3 linked regions of the Cricetulus griseus genome follow. The protein of the gene in region 2 purifies or fractionates together with the protein of the main gene of each other region. This does not show direct contact. Links are inferred from orthologs where the notes say so. Each region holds a gene or a part of one and is shown on either strand. Other genes may lie near its edges. The genes, in order: Vps39, Plekhm1 and Vps33a.

Evidence for each region.
Region 1: the proteins of Plekhm1 (region 2) and Vps39 purify together in Homo sapiens (co-immunoprecipitation; 3 studies listed by BioGRID and IntAct, with this or other methods). This does not show direct contact. The link is inferred for Cricetulus griseus from reciprocal best matches to the Homo sapiens genes PLEKHM1 and VPS39.
Region 3: the proteins of Plekhm1 (region 2) and Vps33a purify together in Homo sapiens (affinity purification with western blotting; 3 studies listed by BioGRID and IntAct, with this or other methods). This does not show direct contact. The link is inferred for Cricetulus griseus from reciprocal best matches to the Homo sapiens genes PLEKHM1 and VPS33A.

Annotation. Positions count from the first base shown.
Region 1 is NC_048599.1:58,177,877-58,181,526, reverse strand, and holds part of Vps39 (vam6/Vps39-like protein), read right to left. Parts: intron 2,813-3,650; coding exon 2,663-2,812; intron 2,544-2,662; coding exon 2,409-2,543; intron 2,017-2,408; coding exon 1,925-2,016; intron 1,452-1,924; coding exon of another isoform or gene 1,394-1,451; exon of another isoform or gene 1,356-1,393; intron 426-1,355; coding exon 350-425; 3' UTR 1-349. UniProt on the Homo sapiens protein: Regulator of TGF-beta/activin signaling, inhibiting SMAD3- and activating SMAD2-dependent transcription.
Region 2 is NC_048600.1:114,753,069-114,756,718, reverse strand, and holds part of Plekhm1 (pleckstrin homology domain-containing family M member 1), read right to left. Parts: intron 2,471-3,650; coding exon 1,844-2,470; intron 1-1,843. UniProt on the Homo sapiens protein: Acts as a multivalent adapter protein that regulates Rab7-dependent and HOPS complex-dependent fusion events in the endolysosomal system and couples autophagic and the endocytic trafficking pathways.
Region 3 is NC_048597.1:103,299,569-103,303,218, forward strand, and holds part of Vps33a (vacuolar protein sorting-associated protein 33A), read right to left. Parts: intron 1,644-3,650; coding exon 1,517-1,643; intron 18-1,516; coding exon 1-17.

The sequences.
Region 1 (3,650 bases), on a different chromosome or scaffold from region 2:
AACTCTCAGTCAACAACCCCATGGGTACAAACACTTGAGATGAAATCTTGTCCAGGTGACTGGCATACAAAGGCAAGACGGTGCATTTCCTCCTGTCCAAGGAGGGGTTAAATTCCTGGGATCGTCTGCAACATAACAGTGTAAGATATAACTAATCTTTTTCTAGGAAAAAGCCAGCAATGCCAGGTCACAAATCCAGTTAATTCAGAGATGATCCAGGGAGCAAGGAAGCCAGTGACGTCCAAATGAGGAGACTTGGTGGTAGAGGTCCCTGGTTCCTAATGTGGCTGCTCCTTCAACTCTCTGGGAAAGTTGAGCTATCCACTGCTGAGTCCTTAGGATTCTGTGCTCAGGTGTCGGCTGGGTTGACCTCTTTGGAACAGAAGTAGTGCACAACCACTCCATTTGGGTATCTTGCAAATGCACTGTGTGGAAGAATAGTTTAGAGGTGAGTGATAGAATAGTCTCCTCTAGCACCTGCAAGAGGCACCAGCACCAGCAGCCACCCAAACCCCAAAGAACAGCCTACTCCAATATCTCTGGAATGCTGTGGTGCCTCCTTTCCAAACAGCCAGAGCATGAACTATACAACATTCAAGTGCATTAAAACATTTTTGTTACTCTATCAGTTCAGGGTTGGGGGTTTGGGTCAGTGGTAGTGTGACCCTCAGTAGTGCTATCAACTAACCAACCAACCAGCCAGCCAGGTAAATAAATGGGCAAACAGAAAGCTTGGCACTGGAGGATGATGTTCAATGGAACATGTTTTGGGCTAGTTGTAATGAATGACAGCAAGTCAGGCCTCTGCAAAGAAAGAACTCTTCTAGCTGAGTAAGAAGAGGCAGCTTCTGCTCCTTCCAGGCCAGGGGGCTGACTCTCAGGCATGTCCTAACACAGAATAATGATTGTTGTAGAATACAATAGCTCAGGAGGTTGCTCCAGTCATGAGACAGCAGGTTTTCTCCCTCGGGCCGCTCATCCTGTCTACCTGGGTACAGGCCTATAGTCCTGGCACTGGGGTGTGGCTGAGGCAGGAGGGATGATCAGAATTTCAAATTAGCCTGAGCTATCCAGCCAGCCCGCATCTCAAGACTTTCTGTATGTCTCTTAAACTCCTACTGCTGACTCTCTGGCTCCTGTTCATTTTAGCTGCCTGAGGAACAGAGCTTTCTGGGCCAGAGTTCAACAGCTCTGTGCCATGTCAGCTCTTTAAACTATCGAAGATTCCCCCCAACAGATAATATGGCTTGCTCTCTCAAAGCTCAAGAACTCAATAACACAAGACAGCTTCTATCTGTGGTGGGTGTGAGGTCAGTGCTGTCCATGTGACAGAATCTAGAATCACCTGGGAGCTGGGCCTCTGACATTCCTGTGGGGGATTATCTTGATTTCATTAACCGATGTGGGAAGACCAATCTTGATTGTGGGTAGGACTATTCCCTTGGTAGGGACTGTGAAGAATGGAGAGGAAGAGCTGAGCAATAGGAAGCATTCACTGCTCGCTCTCGCTTGCTCATTCTCTCTCTCTCTCTCTCTCTCTCTCTCTCTCTCTCTCTCTCTCTCTCTCTCTCTCTCTCTCTCTCTCTGGTTTTTCAAGACAGGGTTTCTCTGTGAAACAGTCCTGGCTGTCCTGGAACTCACTCTGTAGACCAGGCTGGTCTCGAACTCACAGAGATCCACCTGCCTCTGCCTTCGGAGCACCGGGATTGAAGGCGTGCGCCACCATGCCTGGCCCTGCTCTCAGTTTCTTGGCTGCGGAATGCAATGTAACCAGCTGCCTCAAGCTCCTGCCTTGATCTGCCAGAATAAACCTCCCTCAAGCTGCCTTTGTGGCAACAGGGTAAGAAACTCAGGGCAGAGATCTACCCCACACCTCTACTCTCCGGGACCCATCTGCTCCAGACGCTGCTCGGGAGGGGCTCACCTGTTCCCAATCTTCTTCTTGCACACCATGCACACCTTCTCCTCGGTGATGATGCACTTCACCTGCTGGTGTAAAATCCGTTCTTCCTGAACCTGGAAGAGATGGGAGAAGTTCCATGTCAAGGTGTAGAAACGGAAGTAGAAGTTGGCATTGTTTGTGTCTTCTTCAGCTTCCATAGATTCTACTAAACGCCATTCTGACTTCCAGATCACCTGAGCTATGTGCTTCCTTGATGACAACAATTATGTGAAAAGTGTCTCAATTAAAACTCAAAGCCCACTGAGCATGGTGGTGCAGGCCTTTAATTCCAGAACTCAGGAGACAAAGACAAGTGGATCTCTGTGAATTCAAGGATAGCCTGGTCTACACAGTGAGTTTCAGGACAGCCACTCAGAGAAACCCTGTCTCAAAAAACCCAACCAACCAACCATCCAGCCAACCAAACAAACCCCAAAGACCCACAACAAGTGTGGAAGGCCCATACTCTCAGGAACTCGGCATGGAGAAGGTTCTTGAGCACTTGATTGAACCGTTTCTTCTGTGCATTTTCTTCCAAGACCTTTTCTAAAAAGATGCGTATGTCATTGATCTGAGTGTTTGCTGGTAGAAGGTTGATCGCCTGGGGCAGTGACAGGATGGAGATGGGTTAGGAAGATCAGGAGTGAGACCAAGAAAAGCTTGTGCCTATCCCCTTCCCCAGCCCTCTTCTCACTCCTGCTCTATCGGCAGGCCCCTGACCTTGGTGGTATCTAATTTGCTGTAGTGCAGCTCTAGGACCTGCAGGGCAGCCTGGAGGTTGGCCTGTGGCTCCAGTAGCTCCAGTTTGATTGGTCCCAGGCAGTGGATGCTGGGGGGTGACAGGTACATCCGAAGCAGGGACAGATATACCTGTTTCATAGATACAAACATGCATGTCAGGGTTAACAGCAACCTTCCTAGGACCCCCAGCCCTGAGCTTCCCTGATGATTAGAGAGGGCTGGTCAATAACAACCACTGGCATGGAGCACTCCAAATCCATCACCTTCCCCTTAATTTTTTGGCAAAGTCAAACAGCCAAATGAGGATGCCAATTATTGCTTTTTCTATGAATGCCTTGTATCTGTTTAACGTTATACCATTCACAGAAAGTTAACACTGCTAAATAACCTAAAGATTCTTCATTTTCTTATGCTTTGGAGGCTGAGAGCCTGGCCATGTTTCTGACTGGTTCTAGTGGCACTGGGTCACTCCATCCTAGCACTCTTAGCACTCTTTTTTTTTTTTTTAATTTTTATTTTTTATGAGCATTGGTATTTTGCCACGGAACTGGAACTACAGACAGTTGTGAACTGCCATGTGGGTGCTGGGAATCAAACCCAGGTCCTCTGGGAGAGCATTCAGTGTTCTTAACCTCTGAGTCATCTCTCCAGCCCGCATCCTAGCACTCTTAACAAAGACACTTCTATACTGCATCATTTGGCAGCATCTCTGGCCTATACCCCCAGATTCCCACCCAACTCCCAGTCACACCAATCACAAAGGTTTTGTGGTACTGACAAATTGATGTATAATCAGACCCTTTCCCCGAGATGGGCCAATCCACATTAATTTAATACATAAATCAGAACTCTTGAGAGGGACAGGGTGCTATTACTAATCAGGTGGGTGACAATCGATCTTCCCCAGTAAACATACACTAACAATCATTTAGTGCAAGGACATATATTGTGTCTCGGTGATTGATAC
Region 2 (3,650 bases):
GGTTAGATAAAAGCCAGTATTCCTCAGGAACTTGTAAAACCAGTTTGCATCTACCAAAAGGAGTCATTTCCCTGACCTCCAGCAGAAGGACCTATGGCTCCATGGACATGTACTTGAAGTTGCATATCAGAGCACACACTGGCCTCCAGGCTCCCTCGGCATCAAAGTACACATTACACATTCCAAAGTCCACAGAGCGTCCTAGACCTTCTCACCTCCCGATGCCCATTTGTTCTCCATAAGGACAAGTGCCCCGCCCCATCCCCACCCCTGCTGCTGCTGTTCTCACTATGCTTTCTCTGTTCTCTATGTCTGATTATTCTCCCTTCTCTCACAGGTAGACCTGGCTATGTCCAGTCTGCTGGCTTTGTTCAGTCTATTTCTTTCTCTCTCAGCTCTGAATTCTTCCAGATACCTCTGGATATTCTCTTTTATTTACAATAAAAACCTTCCCCTTAGCCATAGCATGGGGCAATCATGTTGGCACCTCCTTGCGTACACTCACTGAACAGACAATGATTTGACTCTCAGATCTGTGAGAAATCTCATTTTAAAGATGGAGAAATGGTTCAGAAGAGTCAGCAGCAATTTGATTGGAGTAGGCCTGGAAACTAGGTTTTCTGTGAGCCCTGCCCACATATCACTGGGTTTGATTCCATCCTATACCAGGTGGCAACCTGGAAGGACCTGAACCAAGGATGTAGGGTGCACAGTAGTAATGAAAAGGTCCTAGACATGAGTTTTATGGAACAAAACAACTACCAAATACCCACAACCCTGACAATACTTTCCACTGGTAAGACTGAGAGATCACGGGGACATTCCTGACAGTGTTAATAGACAGCAGTTGTGGAAACTACAAATCAGTGCTTCTAGGAGTTGACTGAACTCAATGTCTACTGAGTGGAACAATAGACATAAGAAGAGAATGAAGAGGCTCTGACACACCAGCAATATACATATGCTATCTTTTGTAGGAAATCAAAGAAACAGGAAGAAAATTAAAAATAATAACATAAAAACACACTGTTTCTGCTACAGATACATTTAGGAACTTGGAAGCATATGCACTCAGGAGGTGGAAGCAGAGGATCAAAGAGTTCAGGGCCAGCCTGGGCTACTGTATGAGACCCTGTCTTACCAAAATAAACAAAATCAAATAAAACCCAAAAGCATTGGGGCTTGGGAATGTGGTTCAGGGGTAGAGAACTTGTGTGGCTCATGTAAGGCCCTGGTTTAACTCCCAGCACTGCATGGGAGTGTGGGGGTGTGAAGAGAAAGGGCTAGGGCTGGTGATGCAGCTTTATGCAGACAACTGAGAACTGCAGATGGAGCGGAGTTCAGCCTCATGCTCCCCTTTGGCAAAGTGAGTTAAGAGAGTCTGTTTACATACTCTATACACTCACTGATCCCCATTTGTCTCAGGTTTTGTGTCTGTCAGGTGTTATGAAAGGTCACAGTCTATGCCCTCTACTTCACCATATTTGCTGGAAGTTGTATATGCACTCTGAACTACAAGTTCCTTCCCTCTAGATGGAAAACTCATATTTTATGTGGACCTCAGAAAGGCCAAAGACTCAGGCCAACTCTGAGTACTAAATCTATTCTCCAGGTGAGAGTGATGCTCACACCTCTAATGCCAGCACTCAGGAGAACCAGGTACTATAGCCTAGACTACAGAGGGAAGCCATTTCAAAAAACAAAGCAATTTGTTCTCCCCACTGAGCTATTTCCTCAGTTACAGTAAGCCCCTTGTCTCCTTTGACTTCTTCATATACCACCAGAGTACAGTGACAATCATTTGTACAGGAAGGCAGAGCAAAGGTTGGAGGAGGATACTCACTCTTGCAGAGACCTGTCAGAGTCATCAGCATTCACTGGGCCCAGATCTGAGTCGTAGGACATGGGTTCCTCAGAACGGTCTGGACTCCTAGAGCCATTCTCTTGGAGCAGACAGCTGTCAGAGTTTAGGCTGCAGGATAGCTGGGATGAACTGGCTGTATCCAGGCTGAGGGAAGAGGCAGTGAGCTTCCTGTTCCTGCGGATCTTATGGCCAGAGTGCTGGACTTCAATGTCCTCAGAGCCTGAGGAATGGGAAATTGAATCCAGAGACTCCTTCCGTTGTAATTCTGCCCCAGAGGTAGTGAGAGGGTCAAGCTCAGAGAGGGGGCAAAGCCCAGAGAGAGACAATGGGGTGAGTGTCCATTCATTTAAGATGGCCGACTTGTAGGAGAGTTCAAAGGACAAGGACGTTAGTCCTTGCAGGAAGCTCAGGAGAAACTCGCCCTCTTCGGCATCTCGCAGCAGGGCCGTGGGCTGATAGTACTCGCACAACCGTGTGGGTTCCTGCAGGAGCAATTTCAGATAGCACTCCATCAGACCATCATTGAGGGCCAGCCGCAGCCAGGCCCGGCAGCGGCCTACGTCTGTATTGATGAAGACCAGATGCTCCAACTCTGAGACGATGTGTCTAGAGGAGGACAGAGCAGATGTGTTTCAAGAAACAACCTCAAATCTCAGAGATGTGGTTCAAGCCACTGCTTAGCAAGAACCAGTAATTAAGTACTGCAAACACAAACATACCTAAGCACAACAGATTCCATCTCAGGGAATACAGAAAAACTGAGCTGTTGAGCCATAGCTACCAGATACATCTACCAACTCAACACATTTGTTAAACTCCCAACCCCTAATTCCTGGGGAATAAACCCAGGGCCTTGCATATGCTAGGCAAGCATTCCGCTACTGAGCTATGCTCTCAGCCCCAGGTAACTGCCACTGAAAGAAATACATAAAGGTCAGTCCTATCATTGGTGGAGTGAGAGGTGGGGCCATCACTTCTGGTTAGAAAGGACGGTGTCTCGGTTAGGCCCTGAAGACTTTCCAGAAAAAAAAAAAAAAAAAAAAAAGGATAAATTTTCAGCACAATGGACTATTAGAGAAAAAGACACAATGGGCAGAAAAGTAGCAGACCTATCAGGAGACTGGGAGAGCTCCCATTACAACAGGTGGAGGGTGGCTGGTTAGGTCACAAAGCCAGGCAATAATAGATGGGGCCCTGACAATCAATTGATCAGACTATGTAGGACAAAGGGTCCCACACTTAGCTGTTAGAGCTTGGGGTGAATATTCAGCCACTATTTGGCTTCTTAGCTAAATGCCTGACACAATTCAGTATGAGTATAAAGTTTAAAACAAGAAATGGAGAAATGGCTCACTGGTTAACAGCACTGGCTACTTTTGCAGGGACCCAAGTCTGATTCCCAACACCCACATGGTGGCTTGGTCACCTCTAGCTCCAGTCCCAGGGGATCTGGCACCCTCTTTTGGCGTGTGTGCCCTGCACCAGGCACATACATGGTATGTATAGATATGAATGTATGAGTGGGGAAACACTCATACACAAAAATTTTTTTAAATTAAATTTAGATGATAGAAAAATTAGTCAAAGGCAAGGTCAGCAAACCCTGGTCCTGTTAAAAGGACCAGAGAACATTTTGGTCTTTTCAAGCCTCACAATGTAATACATGACTCAGCCTACCGTAGTCAAAGGTCAACAGTGCCGGGGTGAGGAGCAGCCACAGGCTCTTAATGAGTGTGGAGTGTCTCAAGGTCTGGAGATAAGCTTTTCTATAAGGCTGCCTCCAGCC
Region 3 (3,650 bases), on a different chromosome or scaffold from region 2:
AAAGAAGTCTTCAGACGCTAAAATGTAATCAGAAAATTTTTGACTTAGAAATTCCAGTGTCAGCTGGTTTGAGTGCTATGCTTCTGGTCATAAGCAGGATTAGCAAACAAGGCACACTAAACCAAAAAGGTGGAGACTTGGAGCAACCAGGAAACCAAAGCGCTGAGTGGTACTCAACGCTCACTGCTCCTTCAAGGTCCTTTGCTTCAGATGCCACTGGGCAGGAGTCTCAGTGTCAGTGAGCACTCATGTCCCCAGGACAAGCCTCCTGTCATCTGACTCTGACCTTTGTCACCAGCAGACAAAGGACTACTTTTCCAACCCTGAACTAAGATTCAAAGCATATTTGTTAACACTTGGTCCTGAACAAACACCATTCAGTGCTCAACACATGCCTCAGCTTCTACTTCAGTCAGATGGACTTGAGTCAGGATTTAATACATATCTCATGAGGCTCTTTGTGACAATTCTGTAGGAAGTTTTTGTTTTGTTTTGTTTTTTAAGACAGGGTTTCTCTGTGTAGCCCTGGCTGTCCTGGAACTCACTCTGCAGATCAGGCTGGCCTTGAAAACAGAAGTCTGCCTGCCTCTTGACTGCTGGGATTAAATGCATGTGCACTGGCTTAGTTAGTTTTTTGAGGGAAGGTTTAGTGTAGCCCAGGCTGGTCCTGAACTCATTATGAACTGAAAATGACCCTGAGCTTGGGATCCTCCTGCCTGCAACAGCCCCAGTGCTGATGTTACAGCACACGCCACCAGGGTGGGTAAGTACACTACTGACCGAGCTACATTCCCAGGCTCTTTTCTTTCTTGTCTACGAGTCTCACAATGTGCTCAAGCTGTCCTTGAATGTATTGTCTTCCTGTCTCAGCCTTCCAAGTGCTAGGATTACGGGTACCCTGCTCAGGGGACCAAAGCTAGAGTCCCAGCACCACCCCAGGACAGCATACTGTTCTAATTAAATAATCCTTCACATAGGAAAACATAAGGAAAACATGAACTGCTTCATATCATTACTGGGGCAATCTTCTGGATGAATGCTTTTTTCTTATCCATATTTCAGGTACTTTAACTCATGATTAATAAATCATTTTTTAGAGATTTTTTGTGTGCGCCTGGGTGTGTCTGTGCATGGGTATGTGCATATGAGTGCAGGTACCCTCAGAGGTCAGTGGGATCCCTGGAAGGAGTTATAGGCAGCTGTGAGCCACCAGCTGGGGTGCTGGGACCTGAACCGGGGCCCACTACCTTAAAAAGTCATACACTTACTTCTCCTGTGACATATGCGTGACGCTAAAATGGAACTGACTGCGGGTGGCTCAGTGGTCAGGCACTTGCTTCACACTGCTTCACACCAACAAGCCCTGCTTTGAACCCTAGCACTAAGATAATAAAACAAATAGATCAAACACAGCGAGCCTTCCCAAGGAAGGACCAAGGTGCTGACGATCAGGGTGTTGGATGATGTATACACAAGCCAGTCCCAGGTGGGAAGAGCCACAACAAAGGGTACTTACTGGTGACATCTTTGATTAATTCTGCAATTGAGGTGTGGTTGGCGAGGGAGCCCCTGGCGGCCTGCATGTGGGGCAGCTGGGAAACGAACTGCTTAATCTCCCCCACTGTCTTGGCGTTGTGCCTCTCCTGCAACAGAACACAACAGGCGGCAGCGCCATGAGGCAGGAGAGCATCCCAGAGGGTGTTCCGTCAGTATCATCACGAAAGGGAAAATGCAAAGCAAGTTAAACCCAGCTCTGAAGTCACAGATAAGGTAAGCACAGTGGCATGGTGCAGCTCCCTCCCAGGACACACACACACACACACACACACACACACACACACACACACAAAGTGCTACACAAAAGGGAGCCACAAACAGCAGAAGACGTCTAGGTCAGGCAAGCCAGAGCAGACTTATAACCCCAGCACTCGGAAGACAGAAGGATCAGAAGTTTAAGGTCATCTTTAGCCATGGGACCATTTCAAAAACCAAAAGCAAACAGCAAAAAATTTTCTATTTAACAGAAACAAATCCCACCTGGCATTAGATCTCAACAGTGAATGCAGCCCATGAATACAGTGAACCTCGACTATTGACAAGAACGGTTTGTTTATTTATTTATTTATTTATTTATTTATTTATTTATTTATTTATATTTTAGGTGCATTGGGGTTTTGCCATGGGTGTTGGGTCCCCTGGAACTGGAGTTACAGACAGTTATGAGCCACCATGTGGTTGCTGGGAATTGAACCCTGATCCTCTGGAAAAGCAGTCAGTGCTCTTAACCTCTGAGTCATCTCTCCAGCCCCAATAAGAATGTTTTAATAACATCATCCAAAACAATCTACAGGAATATGGAGCTAATCCACAGGTAGAATCCCTAAGAAAGGTAACACCAGGAACACAACAACAAAAGCAAAAAGCAGTTTTCAAGAACTCTCCCTGTTTCTGTCTCTAGAGTCTAAACAGACATTTCGTAAGTCTACTGAATCCCCACATTTCAAAACCAGCTCAACAAGAACAAACTGGTTAAAGACCAGGGGAGGCAGGAGGTGGTAATGAAGCTGTGGGCGGCTGGGGATTTTGATCTCATTATCATTATCGCACATGTGGGCTTCCCGGCCACTGCCATGCTGGCCAGACCTCAAGTGCTCCCCTGGAGCTGCACACTCCATGTCCATGTCGAGTACAGCTGGCATTCTCTAGGGAGGAGGAGAGGGTAGAAGAGAAGGTCATGGGAACTCATTTAGGAAAACGTCAACACCCATGCTCTCACATTTCCTAAAAGAACAGGAACCTTTAATACAGGACTGCTGTTACAGGTCTGAGGAAAAGTTTTAAAATGATGAAAGCCTAGGCTGGCGATGCAGCTCCAGGGTACAGCACTGTCCAGCATCATCAAGGCCCTGGGTTTAATCCCTAGTACTAGAAAAGTAAATAAATAAATAAATTTTTAAAGAAAGAAACCCTTAGGTCCTCTTGAATATGCAGGTATTAGAATGAGACAGATGTACTATAGTACAGCTTCTTTTGAAAAAAGATTTATTTTTAATTATGTGTACTTGTGTGTGTGTGTCTATGTGTGGGTGTGTCCATGTAAGGCCGAAAGGGGGCCTTAGATGCTCTGGAATTTGAGCCACTCAGTGTGAGTGCTGGGAATTAAACTCTGCAAGAACAGCACTCTCCATTGCTGAGCCATCTCTCCAGCCCTAGCCCAGCTCCTAAAGTGTGGGTCACAGTCCATACAAGACTGTGTAAATGAACATGGGGGTCACAAAAAGTTAATTTCTGAACATGCATTGTCCACAAATGAACTGAAACACGTTTCTGGCAGTGCTTACTGAAGCCTTGGCCATGAACACAACATGGAGCCTTTGAGGGTATGGGTCCTCATACCATTCCAGCCTCAAATGCTGCCCAAACACCGAGACTCAGACTCAGCACTACTTCATACTATGAACTGCAGTGTCTTCACCATATGAAAGATATTTGCTCTTATAGAAATATAATGGTTTAATTACAAAATCTCACTATTTTCCTTTAAGAGTTCTGGGCCAGGGCTACATAGTGAGACAAAAAAAAAAGAAAAAAAAAAAAACCAAAAAATTCGGGCTGGAGAGATGGCTCAGTGGTTAAGAGCACTGCTTGTT